Linked DNA regions of Drosophila melanogaster. The protein of the gene in region 3 purifies or fractionates together with the protein of the main gene of each other region. This does not show direct contact. Each region holds a gene or a part of one and is shown on either strand. Other genes may lie near its edges.

What was found.
Region 1: the proteins of woc (region 3) and geminin purify together in Drosophila melanogaster (affinity purification with mass spectrometry, with the first as the bait; one large-scale study listed by BioGRID). This does not show direct contact.
Region 2: the proteins of woc (region 3) and RluA-2 purify together in Drosophila melanogaster (affinity purification with mass spectrometry, with the first as the bait; one large-scale study listed by BioGRID). This does not show direct contact.
Region 4: the proteins of woc (region 3) and cmet purify together in Drosophila melanogaster (affinity purification with mass spectrometry, with the first as the bait; one large-scale study listed by BioGRID). This does not show direct contact.

Annotation. Positions count from the first base shown.
Region 1 is NT_033778.4:6,654,940-6,658,495, forward strand, and holds geminin (geminin), read right to left. Parts: upstream 1,656-3,556; 5' UTR 1,587-1,655; intron 1,516-1,586; 5' UTR 1,291-1,515; coding exon 712-1,290; 3' UTR 524-711; downstream 1-523. Other genes in the region: Opbp (Optix-binding protein), read left to right, coding at 1-171, 233-286; sced (scrambled), read left to right, coding at 2,573-3,556.
Region 2 is NT_033779.5:10,475,345-10,483,097, reverse strand, and holds RluA-2 (RluA pseudouridine synthase 2), read right to left. Parts: upstream 6,026-7,753; 5' UTR 5,713-6,025; coding exon 5,506-5,712; intron 2,001-5,505; coding exon 1,814-2,000; intron 1,751-1,813; coding exon 1,528-1,750; intron 1,477-1,527; coding exon 1,389-1,476; intron 1,336-1,388; coding exon 1,115-1,335; intron 1,056-1,114; coding exon 865-1,055; intron 814-864; coding exon 524-813; intron 474-523; coding exon 312-473; intron 254-311; coding exon 179-253; 3' UTR 123-178; downstream 1-122.
Region 3 is NT_033777.3:27,258,052-27,265,873, forward strand, and holds the start of woc (without children), read right to left. Parts: upstream 6,005-7,822; 5' UTR 5,726-6,004; exon of another isoform or gene 5,684-5,725; intron 5,401-5,683; 5' UTR 5,342-5,400; coding exon 4,504-5,341; intron 4,437-4,503; coding exon 4,176-4,436; intron 4,110-4,175; coding exon 4,065-4,109; intron 3,898-4,064; exon of another isoform or gene 3,893-3,897; coding exon 2,040-3,892; exon of another isoform or gene 1,999-2,039; intron 1,935-1,998; exon of another isoform or gene 1,830-1,934; coding exon of another isoform or gene 1,806-1,829; intron 1,747-1,805; coding exon 671-1,746; intron 608-670; coding exon 222-607; intron 158-221; coding exon 32-157; intron 1-31. Other genes in the region: CG14262 (uncharacterized protein), read right to left, coding at 6,364-6,624, 6,678-7,355; CG14260 (uncharacterized protein), read left to right, coding at 7,436-7,822.
Region 4 is NT_033779.5:11,265,965-11,270,777, reverse strand, and holds the start of cmet (CENP-meta), read left to right. Parts: upstream 1-1,775; 5' UTR 1,776-1,931; coding exon 1,932-2,070; intron 2,071-2,145; coding exon 2,146-2,268; intron 2,269-2,325; coding exon 2,326-2,672; intron 2,673-2,725; coding exon 2,726-3,627; intron 3,628-3,731; coding exon 3,732-3,896; intron 3,897-4,220; coding exon 4,221-4,813. Other genes in the region: cana (CENP-ana), read right to left, coding at 1-80, 134-480, 538-660, 736-874.

The DNA.
Region 1 (3,556 bases), on a different chromosome or scaffold from region 3:
GAGCAGGAGAATCCCGCCACCTCAACTGATGCTGCACACGTCGCTGAGACCGATGATTCCGAGACTGCGGTGTTGATAGCGGCAGCCGAGGCAGATGCCGCTTACATAAACGCTGTGGTAAACGATGTAGACATCGTGGGCACCGTACCCACCTACGAAGAGTGCGTTGTGGTGAGTTACTAGTTCTTTGTATCTCTTCCCAAACTTACCTTTTTCTCTTCCTTTATTGCAGTTTGACGTGGATAACTTCCACAGCGAGGAAGTTATTACAGATTGGCTTAAGTAGCAGTTCACAGTTTTACATCCAATAAATATTTGTCTCAAAAATATGTTGTACCTTGAGTATTTTATTTTTGCGTTAGCTCCCCACACATTGAAATCCATCCGCATTGATGTAAGCTAATAAACACATTTGTTTTGATGTAGAATTAATGAAAGGAAAAGAGCATATCTAAACTAGCATATGGATGCGAAATGGTTTATATAAGTTGCACATAAAATACAGGAATACGAATTAAATATTGTGTGCAATTGTGCAAATGTAAAACTTTATTAGGATTATAACTGGCGTGTAACAAGTAAATATATTGCTGGCGTACAATTAGACCAGCCGTTGTGTTGGCTGACGACGAACAGGGATATAAACGCGATATTTAACTACAACTAAATGTAAAACCTTAGACTAAAAAAAACGTGTGATTGGTGTGTAGCCTAGGCGTTGACCTTGTCCTCGTCACCCGTAGTGTCGTCCTCCTCCACCTCGCTGTTGTCCTCTTCGCAGATCTCCTTCAGGACCTCCACCAAATTCTTGGCCTCGTCCAGTTCCTGGCGCATAGTGTCCATCTCCTCCTCAAGCCCCTCGATGCGCTCGTGCAGATGGCGGTTTTCGGTGAGCGAGTCCTCCAGCGCCAGTCGCCGCTGCTCGGCCAGCAGCTTGTAGTAGTTCTCGCCGGGTTCGGCTGTGCTAGTGAGATCCTCTGCCGTGATGGGCTTGTCAGCATTGCCAAGCGGAACGGCCTCAGCATCAGTCTGGGTATCCGCATCCTTTGTGGAAATCGCGGGCGCCGTGTCCACGCATTTGCGCTTGCCGTACTTGGGCGCGACTTGGACGCCGGCCTTCAGACGACTCAGCTGATCCACGATGGAGGCGCGCCCTGAACCAGTGAGGTTCTCCTTATCGTTTACGTTGCCCTGCAAGGGTTTCAGGGTCTGTCTCTGCTGCTTCAGGTGCTCCTTCTGCTCGGCCTCTGTCTCGACTTGGATGTAGACCCTGGCAGCGCTCGAAGACATCTTCGGAGATGTGTATTGTGCTTTCGGTGGGTTTGGTTGTCAGGCGGCAGAGCGTGTGCTACTTGCTTGTCTGTTGTTTATGCATTAATTTGTGCGCAACGCTTCACAGTTTTCCATTCGTTGTAATGGCCGCCAAAAAATGCCGATGCCGCGCGCTGTTGTCCAACACTGTTTGCTCAAGGGGCTGCATCACATGCAATTTCATCCCTCGATTTCGTGTCACGACTATCGCAAAAAGTTACCAAATTATTTTAGGAATGTAAAATTAAGATATCCCTTAAAATATAATTACAAACCTACAAAAATAATGTGAAAAATAACAAATCCTACGACTGCTATGTAGTAGAGTACTTCAAAATATTACCAATCATTCATATTAAATAATTATGTTAATAAAATATTAAATAAAAGCTTGCTGTATTCTTGCTGGTGGATGCTTATCAAAAAAGTATAGTATTAAAATTTCTGTATAAAGCAAAACTAAAAACAAAAAATGCAGCTTACTTTTTGGAAACAGTTTTCTAGCGATGTTTTTAAATTGAAAGAAAACCATACCTACCCTGTGTTTTAAACGACAAAAACAGTTAGACAGATACCTAATTTTAAAGTTAAATTTTTACTTCTTTTGCAAATCATAATTCATACTCAGCCAAGTAGAAGTCAAATATACCCCAATGTCGGATGTAGAATTTTAAATACTAAAAGGAAATGCCTAACATTTTTGAAAACATCATTAGCGTTTTTTAATAATAAATATTAAAATAGCTATAAAGCGAAGTATAAATAGGATTTTAGTTTTTATTTGTTTGGTTTTAGACCTGGTTATGGATCTTGAAAATAATTTAAAAGATTGTGTAAATTAGTTAAGAGATTATAAATAAGAATTGCTTGGATACTACCTTCTTATTAAGCTAGTACTCAAGATGTCCAAATAACATGTAAGCATTTAGCATTTAAAAGTATAAATAAAGAACTTAAAAGAGCTGTGTAGCTTAGGCTGAGCACCTTAAGTTTGATTGATGTATATTGAAGTTATAAATTCATTTGTTGGTCTTCTAGAAACGCGATTTCTGTGATATTCCGCCAGGTGGCAACGCCAGTCACGTCACGAGGACACGAAGGATAAACGTGCGATAAGAGAATAGCCGATAAGAGCTCCACCCAGTCGCAAAAAAGATGTAATTCTCGAAGTAGCGGATATAGATCGTTTACTTTTTTATTTTTCACTCGCAACTCATTCACCGCACCTCCATCCGCCCCACCACGTAGCAGTAGCCCCAAGATGGACCACAACGAAATCTCCATGACTATGGACGCCAAGCTGGATACACACGATAAGCGACCAGTGGCGCTGCGTTACAAGACATGGACCCGCTGCCAAGTGAAAATAGAGGCCATTAAGTGTGTGCCCTGCTTCCTGCGGCTCAGTTTCCAGGCCATGGAGACCGAGTCTCACTCCCAAGAGTGTCACCCCGCTAAACCCATTAGCGTCTCCGTAAACGTTCCGGGCGTCAGCTTGAGCCTGGCTACCTCGCGCACGAAGCAGCACTCGTACGGGCTGTTTTGGACGCAAAATCGGCGGGACTGCTTCATCTATTTCGCCCTGGAAACGGAGACATCCTGCCGACGTCACATGAAATGGATGCGGAAGTCGATTAAGAATCTGGAACTTTATCGCCAGGTCTTTCTAGAACAGCGCCGGCTGAGCAGGGGTCCCGGAGGTCTGGGCCCACTGCCTAACCTGCCGGAAACCCTCGACGCTAGCGCTCTCTCTCCGCGAGTCTCGCAAATATACGAGGAGATTTTTGACGGCAGCCGCATCTCCCGCGTCTCAATCGCATCCGGCATTTACGAAGAGATGAAGCCGTCAGTCATGGAGACTCCTTCACCGCCACCGCTGCCCGCACATCCTTACCGTCAGCGAATAAACACTTTTGAGTGCGCCCAGCTTGGCGAGATTGCGCGGTCCAGCACCAATCCCGAATCGGAGCTGGCCAAGAAGAAGAAATACAAGAACATGCTGGACAACCTGTTCGGGAGTTCACGTCAAAAGCGTTCCGGCAGCACCAGCGAGGTGGCCAATGAACCCAGCGATGAGGTCCTGCCACTGTATGAGAATGCCCCCACGCCGGAGCCTGTGCTTCCGGTAAAGCGCACATCCCAGTTGAACAAGTCTCAGCGTAATAGCTTCTCAAGTCCGGACTTGTCCAAACTCAATCTGCTGGACACCTTTGGAGAATACTTCGAGGCCCAGAACCATGAGTCG
Region 2 (7,753 bases), on a different chromosome or scaffold from region 3:
CTGCACGACGATAAATAATACTCCACGAGGACATCCCCTTGCACCGCAAAATGATAAAGTAATTCGGCAAAGTAATAAAACAATGCTACAAATGAAGATAAAATGGAAACACAATTTGTTAAACTCTGTAAAAATATTTCTTTTTACTAAAGCGTCGTGTTTGCAATCAATTTTTCCTTTATACTTTATCGTAATCAATATTCGAATTACACGCCCATTCCGGCAATTCGGTTTCGTACTCCCAACCAACGCCCTGAAAATAAGATTTAATTTGAAATTAAATCTTTAAAAATGTATAGTTTGAAACTGACCTTGTATTTCCATGCATGCAAGTACATTATGAGATCCTTTGTGCCGGGGTCTCTGTAGTTTATCTTGCATTCAGAACATTGCGGATCCGAAGTTGTCTTCTTGGAATCAAAGGACCTGTCTGGTTCCTCATAGCACGTTTGGGTGGCAATCTGTGCAGTAGCCTATAAGCATTGTGTTCTCCAGACTTGTACAACTATTTTAAGTTACTTACATCGTTACTTGGTTCAAGGTTTTTTGAAATCACAGGCTTTTCAGTTTCACTATTAATAGGAGCCTGAACTACTGAGGGAGCCTCTACTACTGAAGTACTTGCTGCTACGTCTTTTATTTCCCCTGATACGATTTGATCTCCTTCCAAGCCCAACCAGTTTTCTGCATTATGAATGCTAATTAGGTTACTGATCAACTGTTCCTCGGTTATTCCACCGATATCTCCTCCTCTTCCTTTCAATGGACCGAAAACTTCATGGTTGTACAAAGGATCATTTGAAATGGGATAGCCTGTGAAATACGAGTGTTATAATTGAATGGAATTATCTGGTTGTCACTTACCCAAGAATTGTAAATGCACTCGTATTTGGTGCATTCGTCCTGTTAGTGGTTTGCACAAAACAATACTATCACTGCCCACCTCGCCGATTCTTTTAAATGTGGTCTTACAGTCCTTGCCCTTCGGTGAAACCTTACAAACACCTATTTTGTAGCTCACGACGTCGATTTTCTCATTGCATTCAACTATGCCACTACGAAAGATATGAAAAATAAGCAGATATATAAAAGATTAGATGCATTTTGGACTTACTCTGGAAAGCGTCCTTCAACGCGGCAAACGTATTCCTTTTGCACTTGGCGAGTTCGGATTTGCAGCTCCAATTCGCGGGCTTTTTCAGCAGTCCGTCCAAACAAAAGTAGGCCAGATGTGAGACGATCCAATCTGTGAATGGTTCGCAGGTTCTTCAGATTGTGCTCCTTGGCCAGGATGAAAACTACCGTGTTGTGTCTATATCTTCCACAAGGATGTACCTACAACATACGATTGTTATTAAATCAAATTCCTTCCAAATTAGTATACCTACCGGTATCGATGCCGGCTTATTCACAACCACAATATCCTTGTCCATGTACACAATCTTGATGGGCTGTGAAGTAACAGGGACTTCGTGTCTAGAATGCAAATGTGTGCATATTCAAATGAGATTTCCTGCTGATGCTTACCTATGCACCACATTGGCCAGCAGATCATTGTGCTTGATTTTATAGTCCTTGGGCACTTTCTCAGAGTTAACAGTCAATTTTCCCGCTTCCAGGCTGCGTTCATATTCCTCCGGCGGTGCGGCTCGAAATTCGCGGACAAATACATCCAGAATTTTCTCATCAACCCAACGTCCTTTGGCGAACGTGGTGAATGTGAAAAAATAAGGATACACCTTCCGCAGACCTATAGATTGCAATTTTATAACAGAATATCTTCTAAGTTGGTTTATTAATATGTTGGCCATACCATTCTCAAAATAATACGATGTTTCGTCGTATCTTTCATCGCTGAATCCAGGACGCTTCGTTTTTAGACTATTGGCCTCTAATTTTACTTTTTTCACATGCCCTTCGTCATCTGTGCTGCTAGCTTTTCGCTTTTCCGACAAAACTTCTTTTGATTGCGTTTCAGACTTTTCCTCTGATATGGATATCTGTAAGATAAACCACGACGGGTGGTAATAGTTTTTTAAAATATTTTCAGCTTCATTGAATGTCTTCTTTTTATTTTTGAGCAAAAACACCTTTAGTTCTTGCTTTAAACTGAACAATTGCTTACTATTTAGAAAATTCGTTTAGATTTGAGGAACTTCACTCTTGAAGATACAGAAAATACGAAAGCCTACCGTGCCAAAGTCATCATATATGTATCCTTATCAGCTTATCAGCTCTTAACACATTGGAGCCTTGTTTCCGGTGTTTGTGTGCAAACAATTCCTCGTTTTCATTCTGCAGCCCAAGCATAATTTTCAGACAGACTGTTTGTTTTTTCCTTGTTGCACACTAAAAGGAAAACAAAAACTACAAAATTGGCTGCGAACCAGTAGTATTTTGTTGGTTACTGGTCTACCAGCCAATATGTTCTAGCCAGGAAGCAAACATAGACAAAAGTCCATAATAAAACAGGTCTCTTGAGTTGTTTAAGGGTTATGCAAAGTTTAAAACTATAAAATACAAACATTTTTTATCATTTTTGTGCTGCCCTCCCTTCTCCACATCTCAAGTGCCATAGACATCATTGATTCTGCGTCGGTCCTCGTAGTTTCACGAAGCTCTACAGCAATTACCTTAAGAATTGCAATTACCTTAAGAATTGCAGTGACCTCTGATCCTGCAGAGATTATTCTAAAGCTGTTATCAGCTAACAATGGGTTTCGATAAGGTTTTTATATTGTTAGGCGGTGTTTTTAAGACTAGAGGAGCTAACTCCCTTGGGTACTGCTTCTTGATACACCCTGATTTCATCCGGATCAGCATCTTGGAACTTATCCAACTGGAGGATAATGACATGCTCTTCTTCCGTCGCCTTCATTGGCTCATGTTTCTGTTTCCACATGCTCTTGATGGCACATTTCCAATCCGTCCACACCTGTGCGCATAATTATCATACAAATTGGATATCATCGGCGGCTCCCCTCACTTGCCGCCAATTCGCATTCTATTTTTATCGCGCTTTTTTGTAAACAAACCCACGATTTTTCTTTTTCTTCACATTAACCTACATTGATAACAAATTCAACTTAGCGTTGCCAGATCAATTCAATTTGGCGCCTCGCAGATATCTCAACACATTCGAAAGTGCCATCTCTATGGGTTTTGTTCCCTTTATGGTCTTAATTAATATATATACTACACAGATTTTACATATTAATGCAATTGTTATTTTTATTTATTTCATAATTTTTTGTTTGTCCTTGGCTATTAAAGTCAACATAAATAATGCTTTTGATTGTTCCAAGTCAATATGCCACCATTATTATGCCACAAAAAGAAAGTTAAAATCATTAATATTACCTGTTAATTATAATTAACAGAGGGGATGCAATCAAACCTTATTAAAAAAAATAGGTATTGTGTCTGTGCAAAAAGCCCAACAAGAGTTTTTAAAGTGGCAAGATTTGGGAATATTTGATATGTTCGAATGACAAGGCTTATGTTTTCTTAACAACCACTTTTCTATACATTTATTTATTTAGTTAATTGCGCAAAGTGTGCCTGATCCGCAAAGCCACTTAGTCCACAGGCAGCCTATCTTCCCTTTTAATTCCTCAGTTTGATGGCGCAAGCCAGTGTCAGTGGAATGGAAAATGGAAAAGGAGTGCAGGCGACCAAGTCTTAGAGGGATTTTCCTCTTCCTGCAAACCAGTAACCGCCATCCGCGGCGGTTTTCGTAATGCGTGTTTACATGGTATTGTAAGAATTATAAAAACGACTGGCCCAAAAGGCGCATCGCGGAAACAATGAGGACCGCACTTAGGATACCCACCCGCCCGTAAGCACGAGGCACTGACACTAATAATTGCGGAAACATCACGACCAACAGACCAACTTGACAAAAGTAGCTCGTTAGGCAGCCACCGCGCGAGATGCCGGGACACTAGAAACCCACTGAAACCCCACCCAAAAAAGAACTAATTATGACAAATCCGTGGTAAAATATCTACGAAGGCAAGTGAAACGTGTCCGTCCATTCGTGCGTCCAGTTGGTCCCCACACATAACTTAACTCCTTGCAGACGACAACCTCGAGCTATTTCCCTATATACATATATATACATGTATATAATGTATATGCGTTTGTATACACTCCGGTTTTTAGTTTATTGATTAGTTTAATTAGCGAGAGAGAATTAGGAATGGGTCTGGCGCTTTAAGTGTACACTCTGGCTAAATATTTAAGGCCATTTGACACTGTCACGTACGTTGAGGTGGAGGAACCAGCAAACAAAAAGCCACGAAACTAGCATGCCTGTACCGGTTTTTGTGGGCCATTAAGGGTTTTGTCTAAAATCTGGTTTTTGTTGCACATCTTAGCAAAGCCCTAAATTTTTAAGAATCTACTGACGCCTAGGGGTGGCTTTAAATTTCTATGGCGGCCAGAACGTTGACTCTTCCACTGCAGGCACTGACTGCAGTCTCGTTTATTGGGGCATTTGTGACTCAAAGTCTCGTAAAAATGGCTTAAATCTCCAGGTACCAGGGTGCAGCTACTCCTCCTGGCTCCACCGCATGTTTATATACAATTTTATGACTCTCGAAACTTTAAGGTAATAGAATAAAACTGAAATAAACCCATTTCTTTCACTCACATGTGTGGGTGTCACGCAATGCTGTTTGAGCTTTCTTTCATTATTGTTATTAATTAGTTTGCAACTTACTTCGAAACTTTTTCTGAAGAATAAATACAAAACAACACTTTAAGCTTCAATCAAAAACCTAATTTGCCTCTAGTTTATTACGTCAATTTAGAATTAAACTACTACAGTATGAATGAGCTTAGATATGAAGAGCATTACAACAATTGAAATTGTACCTAATTAATTGTTTAAATTAATGCAGCAAATTGCATTTGCTACTCCCTGATTAGCTTTTTAATTAAGTTTTAAGTGTGCGATTGGAGCTGCTGCATTGAAATTTCCCTCGACACCAATAATACTGCATAAGTGAGGACAGGAATCCGAATCCACACAATTTGCGAGCAGACCGGACTAAATTGTTTTGGGCATTCGATTCCCCCAAGATAAATATGCTCTTTTACTAGCTGCGAATCGGTCAAAGTTGGAGAAGTGGTCGCCAGCCGCGGATTCCTCGCTATAAAGCGGGTAAATAAATGGGAATTAATAATGGAGGGCGACACGCCAGGGTAAACAAATATGCATTCAAGTGCATGAACAAAACGGCATTTAATCAAGTTCAGCTGGATTTTACACATAAATATATTCCTGAATATACAATATATTTCTAACATTTCTGTAATGTTAAAAAATTATAACTATACAGTATATAATTTTAAAAATTTAGTTTTCTTTTTTATAAATACACAAGGTATACTCAGCAAACAATGCGGATCATATGTAATTATATATTGTATGATATCTTGATATATAATAGTAACCGGATCTATGTACTTAATAGAATGTCTTATCTTATCACTACTCACCGGTGGATCTTTGCTTTCAGCTGGACTACCATCCTTGTCGTCTGGACACCACACGCATTCGGGGGAATCTTCCCGATCATGGAGATTGCCATCCGAAGTGGGATTTGTGTATAGCATATGGCGGTGCAGGAATATGTTTTCCACGTCCACGGATGAGGCATCTCCATGCTGGGTTTGTGCATTTCTCAAGAGTTTGGAACTCTCCATTTTCAACAGCCACGAGAATTGTTTATAGTTTTTGATTTGCGGCCAATTTACTAGAATATCTAAGCAACGCTATAATAATAACAACAAGTTAGTCAACACGTGCGCAGATTTCAGTTTCAAACACAAAAACACTCTGCTTTATGCGATGATTCAATTGAATGAGTTAAATGTTACTTTAATTCATAACACAAACACCACTTGCCAAACGAAAAACGTCCCTAAATTGCCGCAAAAACCGCATGAAAATTACGTTTTTATGCCGAAAGCAAGCAAAACCAAAACATTGCCTATCGATAAGCGCGCGAACCACTGATTCGCGCCGATTGAACTTCATTAGGGGTATTTGCACGGAACTTACTGGTTTTTCAAAGCCACTCGAAACCGTTTTCGAAATGCTGAAGTTCAAGATAGGATATATGATATTCGTTAAACTAAAGATATTGCGTGAAAAACCAATACAGATTTAAATTGTAACAAAATGTAAGAAATCGCTTCCACCAAAAATGAGGCAGTCCTGGGATAATGATAATGGCTTAACGTTTTTGAAACCTTATCTTCAAGCTGTTTAAGTTCTTTTAAAATAACACCCAAAATAACAAGCACTCGAATTGAAAATCCAAATTAGCAGCAGTCATAAAGAAGTTAATTTATAACTGCCTGCAATATCGCAAATAATATACGACTCGAGTTGGCATTTATCCAGCCTTAAGGCTTAATTACATTAACGTGTGTTCCCATATTTGGTAACTGCATACATGTGTGCGAACATGCATGTGGGAGTGTAATCGGAGGCCCAGCACACCTTTCTATATATATATACATATAAATGTTATATACAGGTTGGTAAGAGATCTGTGTTGTTTATAAACACGCGCATGATGGGCATGTTTAGAGGCAAAGCTTTTCTATGAAAGCGAAAAAAAACGCGATGTCGTCATTTTTAGTTTTGTCCAGGCGAAAAGTCAATTTAGAACAGTAGCTCAAATGTGTAGGTGTGTGTGCGGGCTCACACACACACATACACGAATGCGGATGGGAGAAATTTAATGGGTGAGCTAGCGCACACCTACAAAATATCGTGCTGATTTAATCACTTTCTTCGTTTTCACAAACGAACGTCAACTTCTCGCACACCAACACACACACACACACACCTAGTCGCACACACCCACACACACCAACCCCTGTTTATTCAGGATGAGCCCTATAGCTTTTTAGCCATATAGCCATATAGCCCCATAGCCAGTGGCCATTAAATGTTGCCTCAAATGACGGGCAAGCCTTTTCTTTGTTGTTCGCTTTCGTGACCAACCGCGTTTCAAGGAGACCTCCACTCCACTCCACTCCATATACCCGTAGACCATGGCGTCGGGATCTGAATGGAATGGCCCGTGCGAAAGTGGGTGAGTTTCGGAAAACAAAAGTCACGCAGTCAAACACGCAATTCGCGGAGCCTTAGCCCAAATTTGATCAAACATAATGCCTTCTGTATTTTGGTTAGTTGCTAATTGGAAAAAATTATTAAAACTAATCCAACTATCTTTGAGTTGTTTCAATAGTCCTTGCTTATCTAAGGATCAACACGAGCTCGCTTGATTTAGCTTAATTTGTTGCCTACTTTTTGGCGCTCAAAAACATGGAACCAAACTTACAAGGATAAAGTTGCTTAGATACTGAAACAAAAATTATGTTTTTTTAGATTATAATAAGAATTTCTTCACTTCCACAAGATCTACGTTACGAATTTCACTTTTGGTGAATCAGATCTTTTATACTTTTGTTTCGCTCATCATCAGCCTCAACATTCTTTTGTTCATTTTCACTGTGTCAATCGGAAAAGGCAAACGCATTGTTTTCAGAATATATGTACATTCATGTTGGTATGTAATTTTTGAGGAATTCTTTCGAATGATTATTTGGTGCAAGTCGTAACTGATATTAGAAGGTTGTGGCTGCAACACCAGAAGTATGATTTTGAATATGAAATTGCTTCGAGCATTCCGAAAAAGTGGATTTTATACGAGTAATTGTGGGTGTGCCA
Region 3 (7,822 bases):
AACTGACTCATTTCAAGTTGATTCAACTTACGCGAATCGTTGTAAAGCACGGAGAACTTGCGCGCCACCTCGTCAAGGCACTCGGTAAACCGCTCGTAGTACGGATCATAGAATATGTTGTCTATGCGTCCATTCACATACAGATATTGCTGAATGCCTGAAGGAAGAGATTCCAATAAAATCAAATGGTACATGTGTAAACCTGGGGAGTAACTACATACCCAACACAAGGTAGTAGATGGTGTCCGGCGCGTATTCCGTCCCGTTGGGCTTGCGCACTTCCTTGACGAAGAGGCAAAGCGAGTAGTTCAACTCGTCGGCGGTCATTTGAAGCAGCTCCGTCTTGAAGGGCCGCCGGCGCATCGAGCTCTTCTCGATGTCCGCGTTCTTCGTCATCACCCACTGCTTCCATGCGTTCACCCCGAAGGTGTACTTCAGGAACATTTGGGCGTCGGGCTTCTCCTGCGGCTGCTGTGCCTGCTGCGACTGCTGCTGCAGGGCCGAGTGATCCATCTCGCCGCCGCGCTGCCTTTTCACCGGCGAGCGGCTGTTGCGGTTGGGTGGGTCCATGACGACGCCTACGCCGCGCTTGCGTCCACGTGCGGTTCTGAAAGTCATCACATTTAAGTACTTGAGTATTGATCTCTGATTGCCATCTCTCTTAACTCACCGCTGCGTGGCATCAAGCATGTGATGCTGCTGATCTAGATGATGTACTCCCATTTGACCCATTCCGTCGTGACCCATCGGCGACTGGCTGCTGATCGTATTCGCCGTCATCGACGTTTCCAGATCCACCGTCGAGGTCTGGTGATGATTGTCGTAGTCGCCTGTGGCCATCTTGAGGGCTATCTGCAGCATATCGTCGCCGTAGGGATTATGTCCGGCTCCGCTAACGTCCACCACTTGCTGTTGTTGCTGCTGTTGGGCGACGGACTCGAGGCTGTTCTGGTACTGCAGAGCTACCAGGCCCGGATCCGGCTTGATCTCGTTGTCCGAATCGGAGTCCGATTCGTGCTTCTCCTCTGCCACCATCTCGGCCATCATAAGCAACTCCGCCTCCAGTGGATCCTCTGGCATCTTGTCCTGTATCTTCTTGATCTCCTTAAGTATGCCTTGCGCGGTGTTGCGCGTGGTGGGTATGAAAATAGGCACCGGGATTGGCAGCGGAATGGGCACTGGTACGGGGAACGGAGCCGAGTACATGTACATGGGTTGCGGCACGAAGATGGGCACCGGAACCGGGATGAGCACCTTGTTGGAGTAGTCTTTCTCCGTCTGGGTGGCGCAATCCCGCACATCCGGACTACACTGCTCGCCCTGGGTCACCGTTAAGGGCTTACAGCTTATGTTCACGTTTCGCACAGCCTTGGGATATGGTGGCACTGTGATGATCTTGGTCTCCGTTACCGTAGCCGGCCCGAAATCCATAGTCGTGGTAGTATTTCGCCTGACCGGAATGCCCATGTGGGAGCTGCCACCTGACATCGTGGGCGATGGTGAACGCGCCGAGTAGTCTACAGCGTGCTTGCGTGGCCTTCCTCGCTGTGCTGGCGGATGGACACCCGGCATGGACAGCGGCGGTGATGAGGTTCCCGATTCCCGTGGACGTCCACGCTTGCGACGAACCGTCAGATTGCCGATCCGGGCTTCGGTTTCGCCGCTGGCGAGCGATTGCACCGTGGATATAACCGGTAGCATGGTGCCGGAGCCGGATTTCTTGCCTCCAACGCCACCTTTTCCAGTCTGCAATTATCGGGGACATTAATTATATGCAACTTAGGTATGATACTTAATTAATTTACGTTAATTCCCATTTTGGTGGACATTGAATGAAATTAGGATTGCAATTGAAACTTGAATTGAAAGCCAAATTGAAGTAAATGTATTAATAATTAAGCGAGCAGGTAAAAAAAATTGCAAATACTTCGTTTACGTTCAATATTTTAACACTTATTGCATGGCTATCATTCGATTGTAAAAACTTAAAAAAAACCCAGTGTGTACCCTTTTAGTTTATTATTTAGTTTTTGACTCACGTGGGAGAGCTTCAGTTTGACACGTTTGGGCAGGCCCGTGGGAAATGGTGCCGCATTCTTGTTGCCTCGATTGGATTGCTGCTGGGACTTGGAGCTGCCGGCGCTACTGGGCGGTAGGTCGCTGTCCAGCGTGAGGGGAGCGCGGGCGAACTGATTCTGGAACTGCATCACACACTGGTAGGTGCAAAAGTTGCGCATGGAAGCATCCGACATGGTCAAATGATACTGTGGCGTATTGAAGTTGGAACAATTGTCGCATTTGGTAACCGCCCTGGCGGAGATGTTGCAGCTAACGCCGTGCATGGTCAGGCAGTTGATGGAGCAGGTGAGCGTCTCCTGATCGTGCGGCCCACCAATCTGATAGATCATGTCAAAGTTGTACTTCTTCACCTTGCACCACTGGCAGGAGACGATGTGCCTGTTGACGATGATGTACACATTTATGCAGACCCGCGAGCAGAAGACCTTCGGTGACTGCTGTTCGTTGTAGATGGTGTAGGACTCGGCGCTCCGCCGCTCAAAGTATTTGGAGCACATGGCACACGGATCAGCGTTCACGTTGCTCACAAACTTAAAGGCGGAGAAGCAGGGATTCGAGCAGAAGTAGTGCTCTCTGTCCTCCAGCAGCATCTCCACCCTCACTGGCTTCTGGTTGTTGCACACACCGCAGACATCGGTGCGTAGTTTTCGTCGGGGATTGCACATGCTTTCGTAGCGACGGAGGCAGGATTGCGAACAGAAGTCCTTGAACTGATCCTTGTCACCCACCGGGGCAAGGAAGCCCTCCTGCCCGCCGCTGATGTCCTTCTGGCAGCAGGAGCACGTCTTCAGACCCTTCTTAAAGGTGTTAAGGCAGCCGGCGCAGCAGAACTGCCGCACATCGAAACCGAATCGCACGCAGTACTTGCCAAGCGCTATGGAGCTCACCTCCTGCTTGCAGGTCTCGCAGGTGGAGCCAATGGTGCGCTGATAGCTGCCCAGGCACACCTCATTGCAGAAGTCCATGGTCTCCCACATGAGCTGCTTCTCGTCCGTATTGATATCCGCCTCGCAGTCGGCGCAGCGCCTTCGGAAGCTTTCGATCCTGTCCAGGCGCGCCGTCTCTGCCTCCTCCACCGTCCTGGCCACCACGCTGCCGTCGGTCCGTTTGGTGGGCGAATTTTGCGGTGGCTGCAGCGTTGTGGCGCCAATGTTGCGCACTCGAATCGAGTGCCGCTTCAGCTTGAATTTATCTGGCTCCTCAGCGTTGAGCAGATTGAAGCAATCGTCATTGCAAATGTAGAAGCAGTCCTGGTCCTGTTTAATGAAATATTTGCACCGCGTCTTATCCTTGCACTGCAGGCAATCTTGCGTGTTGGCTGGAGTAGCTTCCTCCTCGGCATCTCCGCCCTCGCCATCGGCGCTAGCCTCCGCTTCGGCGGCGCCTTCTTCTCGAACCACTTCCTCGACCAGGAACTTCTTGCGGCGTACAAAGTACTTGCCGGGTTGATCTTCTAGCAGGGCGTCGACACAGGCGGTATCGCAGATGTACTCGAACCCACTGGGAGCAGCAGGCTTTTGCCGAGCCTCCTCCTCCTCCCCCTCCTCAGCGTTCTCCTCTGCCTTATCGTTTTCCTTCTCCTTATCCATTTCTTCTGACTCCTCTGGACTCCTGTACCGAAACCCACAATTCTTTTCATCGCCACACTGTTTGCACTTCTGAACGCTGCCAACGATCCAACTAATGATGATTTTCGGCGTGGAACCAGGTTCACCCGCTCCGGCACTGGAGGATTCCTCGGCTGTGGGCTCGTCGGGATCGGGAACATCGCCACCGGCCTCCTCTTCGTTAGCTGCTGCAGCTACTCCATCTGCTGGCAAAAAAAGGGGATTTACGTTATATACATTTTAATAAGCAATCGTTCTGTATGCTAGGAGCCAATTTTGTAATAACAAACTAAATTTAAAGCAAGAATTAAATGAATAGAATGCAGTCGAATGAAGCAGTTAGTGAGTTTTGCCCAGGAATTAACCCAATCTGCTCACCTTCTGCAATGCCTGTTGCCGCCGACTTAGCTCCAGCTTGAGCATCTGCAGGCAAAATGGATAGAGTAGATGTGGGATAGGGCATTTCAAGTCTTAGTGTGGAGCACTTACCAGTTGGCGTGGTTGGAGATACGTCGGTGGCGTCAACGGCAGCTGCACTGTCGTCTTCTGGATCGGCGGCGGCATCTGCCGGGGACTTTCTATCGTTATCGGGTGTCTTGGCTTGCCGCTCCTCGGCTTCCTCCTCTTCGGCGGCCTTCTCGGCATTCTCGCGGGCCAGTTCCTTCTCAGCTTCAGTCACTTCCGTTTCTTGATCATCGGGAATAAGGCAAACATCTGATTCCTCTGGCTCCAAAACATTTTCCACTGTGTCTATAATGTAAATAGTTCATTCATTTAGTCTTTTATAAACATGCATCAAAGAAGTACTAAGACTTACCATCGCCATGTTCGGCCTCACCAGTTTCCTCGGCATTTTCATCCACCTGCTCCGATTCCGCATCTCCTTCTGCATCCGGATCATCTTCATCGGCGGCCGCATCTTTCTCCCGTTCATCAGGATCTTGGCCATTTTCCTGCTCCTCTAAGCTTGTGTCCACCTCATCTCGGCCCTCCGGTGGCTCTGCATCCTCCGCCTGGTGTGAATCTGCGCCCACGGACTGCATATCTACATCATCTGTCGCCTCTCGATCCAGAGCTGCGTCGTCTTCTGCTTCCTGCTCAGCTTCACCTTCTGCATCCACCTCGCCTTCATCCACATCCATTGCTTCGGGTGAAGCGGGACCGCCGTCCACAGCATCTGCTTCGGCGGCCGCTGCCTCCACCTCTTCCGCAGTGGCCTGGAGGGCATCAGTCTCCTCCTCCGCCTCCTCGGGCTCTTCCTGTGGATCTACCCTCACGGCTTCTGTTTGTGGCTGCTCATCCTCACCGCCTTGCGGCTCCTCGTTGGGCGTTGGCTCCTCGGCGGGCTCCTCCGCATCCACGGGATCAGCTGGTGTACTAGCCGCCTTATCCCGCGACTGGTTATCATCGGCGTCTAATGATCCCTCGGAGATCTGTTCGAAGTCGTCATCCGCCTCCTTGGAAGGAGGCGGTTTGCTTTCCTGCGCAGCTGCATCCTCCGCTGGCGGCGAGGCGGGCGTATCCAGAGTTTCACTGGCCGCCGGAGCAGTCTGTTGTCGATCCTGATCCTGTTGTTCCTCCGACCTGGGGGTGGCCGACTCCGGTCGCGCATTGGAATCGGCGCCGAACGAGTCCAAACTGGATATCTCCTCCATTTCGCTGCTTGATTTTTTAACCGACTTTCGCTGTACGTTTGTTTATATAGACATGAAAACTGCAACAAAAGGAAAACAAACAACAAATGGTTAGGGCTCGTCTATCGATAACATTCGCGGCGCGGCGGACTATCGGCTGGCCAGGGCCCCACACCATTGCCGCCTAAAATGTGTACACACACACGCACAGGCACACCGACGCACACACACACACACTGAGCCCACGGTACAGTGCACGAAAAAACAAAACATGCGCCTCCAGAGAACAAAAAAAGTGGGGAAAAAAGGAGGAGTGTGTCTGTATGCGCCGCTCTGCCAGGCAATTAATATTACTGCACTTGCATTATCTTTTTTGGCCGCGTTGCATGGGCGGCTTTTCCGTACTTTTTTTGCTGCCTTGCCGTACGGTACTTCGATAATCCGCAATCCGAGCGCCGACTTTTTTTTTCGGACAGCACGAGTTTGTTGTGGTGAGCGCGTCTCCACAGGCGAATTAACTGCCTTTCACCGCTGCGCGTGCGGGCACATCATTAACGGTCGGTTCACGGTACGCGCAAAACTTTTCATCAATTACCAAACACCTTTTTGCACTGTGCAATTTCTCGCTTTCTGGCCACTGTGTGAATTTTCGGCTTTATGCGAGTAAAATGGCGCACTAGTGTACCAAATGCGGCCCTCGCATAACGCGTTCGCTTCTTGGCTGGTATCTGCCGGAAAATACCGAAAATGGCGCATAAGAAAATACCGGCGTGAGTGGTGCAACCGGTTGGCAGCACTGCTCGTTTATCTTTTTGAAAAATGCTTCTAAAGTTTGGATCGCTTTTGATCAATAGGAAATTATTGAAAACTACAACTTAAATATAGACTGTCTTTCATCTAAGCTTCCCCTTAGATGAGCTTCCAGTTTGCCATATGCAAAAGATACCCAATACAATGCTAATGAGAACTGATATTTTATTGGCTTATTTTTTTTAAATTTTTGGGTTTTATGCGCGAAGCTTTTGGGAATTCCAAGTAGTTTTCTAGTTTTGATTGATGAATCCCTCGGCGTCCAGAAGAACATTGGGGAAATACTTGATAATTTTGGTGAAGTGCGGGAATTTTTGCGTGTTGGCGAATGTAATCTCATTGATCTCCTGATACTGCTTTAAAATCGTGATGAGTTCATCGGGAGGCACTGCATCCGCCACCAGCCAGTGCTGGATGGCGTAGTTTAGAGCATAGACCGGGAGTTTCATTAAACTGGGTTCGTGGATCAATGATGCGCCTTCCTCTATGATTTTCTAAAGGATAACTAACTAAATTAAGGCTCCATTTTATATTCCAATCTACTAACCTCGATGCAAACGCGCTCCACATCGATGATGTTATGCCGGAATGCTAGGTCGAAGGCAGGAAAGATGCCATCCAGAGGCAATTCCTGCTCCTTTAGTTTCTCAGCAAAGGAGCGAAGGAGCTCCGGCATGTTGTACGCGCAGGACAGGATGAACATATCCCCCACCAGCTTCAGCTGGACCAGCGGCGAGGTCACCTCGAAGGTGTATATGAACTCCAGGAAGATCTCCACGCTCTCGGGCGAAACCCCATTGATCTGGAGTACGCCGTTCCAGTCCTTGTTCTGGTACACGTCCTGCTCCAGTTTGTCGGAGGCAGTGGCCAGGAAGATCCGATGGCAGCCAAATTTCTTGTAGCACACACTGACCGCCGGCTCATCGGATTGGGGGCAGTTGCTCAGGACGTGCACCTGGCAATCGGCATCGGCTCCACTGCGAAAGTATTCCAGTCTGCGGTTTCTACTCGTAGCGCGTTTGGACCCATCACTCGGAGAACCCAATGGTAAATTCTCCTCAACATCCGATGCAGCTGTGGTTCTGGGCACAACGAGTTCCGGCCTCAAGTTCTGGATCCCTCCCTGGTCGTTCGCCTCACCCTCCTCCTCCTCCTCCAGGTCGGACCACCGATTGTTGCTTCCCAGGTGGGCTTTGCCGGCGGCCTCCTTCTCAGAGTCTGACATTCCTGCCAGGGAAACCCTAATTTCGAATTCCAAATTTTGTGCTATGTGAGAGCAAAGCCTCCAAAAAATCCCCAGTCACTATGAACTGCAAGCTACGCCGCCTGGACCTGTTGCGGAATGGCCAAAAGTCGGACTGCGAGCTCCATGTCTCGCAACCGGACAAGTTGAAGGAGGGCAAGCGTTGTCCATGCATTTTCCGCTGCCACCAGGTGATGCTCATCTCCGCCTCCGCGGAGTTCGAGCGCCTGATCAGGGATCCCGAGTTCCAGAAGAACAAGCGAGTGATCAGCGTGGACGACGCCTCTCCCACCGCCTACGAGGCGTTGCTCCTCTACATCTACACGTACGAGGTGTGCAATGCGGTGACCATCGACATGTGCGGTGACCTCATGCTGCTGGCCGAGCGCTACGAGATGCTGGACTTCATCGACTGCTACATCGACAAGCTGGCCCACCAGGAGTGGCCC
Region 4 (4,813 bases), on a different chromosome or scaffold from region 3:
CCAGCCAGATCCACCAGGCTCAGTACGCTCTGCTTTACGGTGTCGTTATCACTGTGGTCCGACTTTCGGGACTCAATGATCTGTAGAAATAATCTTGCATATTATATGATTAATACAAGAATCTAGCACTCACTATCCTGAAGATGGCGTGCGAACGACTGGACCGCTCGTTCATGTTGGTCTCGCCCACGACGCGCTCCTTGTTGCCCATGTAGAGCTGGCGCAGGAGGTCGTCCTCGCTGGTTACGATGGACTCCTTGCAGTTCACATTCACAATCCCATTGCCGGACTCATGGATCTTGAGGTCCTGATTCTTCTTGTTCAGCAGATCGTAGATCTTCTCGTTGTAGATCTCGATGTAGCCCACGCGCAGCAGAAAGTCCCGCTCCGTCTCACTGGAGATCTGTTGAAAGATCTCCTTGGCGGCTAGCACCATGACGCCCGGATTCTGTTCGTCGCCCATCATGGTGTACGTCTTGCCTGAAATGCATGCCCGGTTTTAGGTATACCGCCGCGTATATATAGCACAGTACCCACCCGACGACGTCTGGCCGTAGGCAAAAATAGTTCCGTTGGAGCCCTGCATGCAGGCGTGCACTATGTGCTTGGCCATCCGGTCGAACACCTCCTGGTTGCTGGCGCCCTCGTCGAACACATAGTCTGCCAAACGGAATGGAATGTAAATGAGATAAAGGTCTTGTAGATCAGGATACGCTCAACGCTCTAACCACTCACCGAAGACATAGGGCTCCGCATGGCTGTCCGCCAACTGGATGGAGCGGCCCTCCTTCACCTGCCAGAGTGAAGTGAGCCCGGGCTCGCAGGGACGCACCTTGATGCAGACCTGGATGGAGCTGGCGTTCTTCGTAGACATCTTTGCGACTTGTGGGAAACGTGTTTGACATGCACAATGAACAGACACAAACAGATTTTAACGTTTTATAAAAGCTAGTTTGATCGACATGTTAGTTTCTCTTTGTAAATTCGAACAAATACCGCTTCGGAAGCGAACCAGATCGAAATACGGAACCAGTAAATAGGCGCGAGCCAGTTCAATTTAAAAGTTTGAGGAGCTTTCGGCGAATATGAAAATATAATCCAATAGGCTTCGAACATAAAACTTTTTCCGAGCTTTTTCGTGATATATAATATAGATTATTATTATCTATATTTCCAAAATAGTAAAGACCGCTAAATTAAATGCTTACTTACAGACAGACAAAAGCTGAGGGGATTGTTTAATGCATACAGAAGAATACTGTCTGATATAAACATGAGATTTCATTGGAATAATAATCCCAGTTGTTCACTATTAAAAAAAATAGGAAAATTGAAAATTTGGAAAATATTATAGTGGTTATATTAGGGAGCTTAGTTATAATTTATTTCAAATATTTGTTTTGGAATCAAATACTTTCCACATTATATGTGTGCTATGAATAGAAGTTATGAATTAGTAGAAAAAATACGAACTTATATGAAATTTAAACCGTAGTTTTCGCATGTATTTAAGAGCTTGTTCTATTTTCTGTTTGACCTTAAAGTATTGAGTCATAGAACTTTGTTAGTTAGCATGCCCTACCAATAAGAACACAACGTCTTAGAATATATATATGCCGTAGCGACCCTTGATCAGGAATGTTAATGCAGCCCTGTGGGATAAGAACATAATGTGTTTCTGTTTTTATTTTTGCAGCCCTATTTGGAACTATGATAACAATCGATGAACCGATTTATCTATCGAGTCGTTAGCGCCACTCGAAGATATCGAAGCATATACATCCCTGATTTTGCAAAGCGGCATTTGTTCGAATTTAACGAGCAACAAAGATGTCGATCAATGTTTGTTTACTGTAAAACATTGAATTTTATGTTTGTTTATGAACTGCGTTCTGTTTATCATAAAGCATTGAGACCAAGAAGGCGCCAAGATGTCTGCGAAGAACGCCAGCTCCATCCAGGTCTGCATCAAGGTGCGTCCCTGCGAGCCCGGGCTCACTTCACTCTGGCAGGTGAAGGAGCGCCGCTCCATCCACTTGGCGGACAGCCATGCGGAGCCCTATGTCTTCGGTGAGTGGTTAGAGCGTTGAGCGTATCCTGATCCACAAGACCTTTATCTCATTTACATTCCATTCCGTTTGGCAGACTATGTGTTCGACGAGGGCGCCAGCAACCAGGAGGTGTTCGACCGGATGGCCAAGCACATAGTGCACGCCTGCATGCAGGGCTTCAACGGAACTATTTTTGCCTACGGCCAGACGTCGTCGGGTGGGTACTGTGCTATATATACGCGGCGGTATACCTAAAACCGGGCATGCATTTCAGGCAAGACGTACACCATGATGGGCGACGAACAGAATCCGGGCGTCATGGTGCTAGCCGCCAAGGAGATCTTTCAACAGATCTCCAGTGAGACGGAGCGGGACTTTCTGCTGCGCGTGGGCTACATCGAGATCTACAACGAGAAGATCTACGATCTGCTGAACAAGAAGAATCAGGACCTCAAGATCCATGAGTCCGGAAATGGGATTGTGAATGTGAACTGCGAGGAGTGCATCATAACCAGCGAGGTTGACCTCCTGCGCCTGCTATGCTTGGGCAATAAGGAGCGCACCGTGGGCGAGACGAACATGAACGAGCGGTCCAGCCGTTCGCATGCCATATTTAAGATAGTAAGTGCAGCCTGCTATTTTCTTTCCGATAATCTGCAACATGTATCCCACAGATCATCGAGTCCCGAAAGTCGGACCACAGCGATGACGACGCAGTGATTCAAAGCGTGTTGAACCTGGTGGATCTGGCTGGGTCAGAGCGGGCGGACCAAACGGGTGCTCGAGGAGCGCGCCTCAAAGAGGGCGGTCATATAAACAAGAGCTTACTTTTTCTCAGTAACGTTATCAAAAGTCTGTCGGAAAACGCGGACAATAGATTTACCAACTACCGCGATTCCAAGCTGACGCGCATTCTGCAGGCTTCTTTGGGCGGCAATGCATTCACATCCATCATTTGCACAATCAAACCATCGATCATGGAAGAGTCGCAGTCTACCCTTAGTTTCGCCACGCGAGCCAAGAAAATTCGCATTAAGCCCCAAGTCAACGAGATGGTATCTGACGCCACAATGATGAAGCGGCTGGAGCGAGAAATAAAGGTGCTTAAGGATAAGCTGGCCGAAGAAGAGCGCAAAAACGAGAACCAGCAAAAGGTAGAGCATCTGGAGAGACAAATAAAACACGACATGCACAAGATAATCTGTGGTCACTCCCTGAGCGACAAGGGTCAGCAGAAGCGTCGCCGTACTTGGTGTCCCACTGCATCGGGATCGCATTTGGAGCTAGCAGAGACCGGCACAACTGAAGATCGAATTGACCAATTTCCAAAGGTCTCACACCTTCCAAAACCAGTGTTTTTTCACACTTCAAATGCAGGCAAACGATGGGACAACATTCCAAAGACCATAAACATTTTGGGTTCCCTGGATATCGGTACCGAGAGCAACTCCATTAGTGAGGAATTTCTCCCGGCAGAATGCATTGATTTTGGCTCCCCTCGCCCAGATGTCCTCAAACCCATGTTGACCATCAGGCAACTGCCAGACCTGCCCCTCACTCCCAAGGGTCCCTTAACGTAAGTACTTCTGCAAGCTTTTTGATCATCCTCCATAACATTCATCACATAACAATCGCATCCACATACCCCGACCCGATCCCTGCACTTATTTGCCTGCACAGAACGGATAAAATCAAGAAGGAAATCCAGGACCTGCAAATGTTCACCAGCTTAGAGAAGCATTTTGAGGTGGAGTGCGAAGAGGTGCAGGGTTTAAAAGAAAAGCTGGCCGAGGTTACAGCACAGCGGGATAATTTAGAGCAAGAATCGTTAGCCGAAAAGGAGCGGTGAGTTAATGAGGTGTTTTCTGTCAAGGAATCTGTCGTCCAAAACATAGTGCCTGCATCGTAAAAAACGATGTAAACGTAACTCGACTTTTGTGCTTTAAGCAGTCAACCCAAAATCTAACATACCTATTCATACAAATCTGTAAAACTAGTGCAGCGATATTCTATTCCATTCTATAAAAACAAAACACTTAAGTATATGTTTCAGTTTTTAACAGTAAATTTTGTTTATAGAACACCACTCCACAATACCTGTTTGTTTGATTTATTTTATTATAGTTTTAGTGTTTAACAATAGTTTACTACTTGTGTATCTTCTTATAGTTATGATGCTCTGGAAAAGGAAGTAACCAGCCTAAGAGCGGATAATGAGGCTGCGAATTCAAAAATCAGCGAATTGGAAGAGAAACTGAGTACTCTAAAGCAGACTATGAGAATAATGGAAGTGGAAAATCAGGTGGCCGTGGGCCTCGAGTTTGAGTTTGAGGCTCACAAGAAATCATCGAAACTTCGCGTGGATGACTTACTCTCTGCCCTTTTAGAAAAGGAGTCGACTATAGAGAGTCTTCAAAAGTCCCTCGACAATTTAACCCGCGATGTCTTACGGAACAGCAAGGAGGGCCACATGCTTTCCATTGCCCCAGAGCAGGAAGACATCGCCGGCGACAGTATATGCAACAAGTGTGAGGAACTGGAGAAGCTGATTGCAGATTTAGAGTCCAAGAAAAATTCATGCGAGTGTGATCAGCTCCGGTTGGAAATCGTCTCTGTTCGCGACAAGTTAGAGAGCGTTGAATCTGCCTTTAACCTGGCAAGCTCGGAGATTATCCAAAAGGCGACTGATTGCGAGCGACTTTCGAAAGAGCTATCCACATCCCAGAATGCCTTTGGACAACTTCAGGAAAGGTACGACGCTC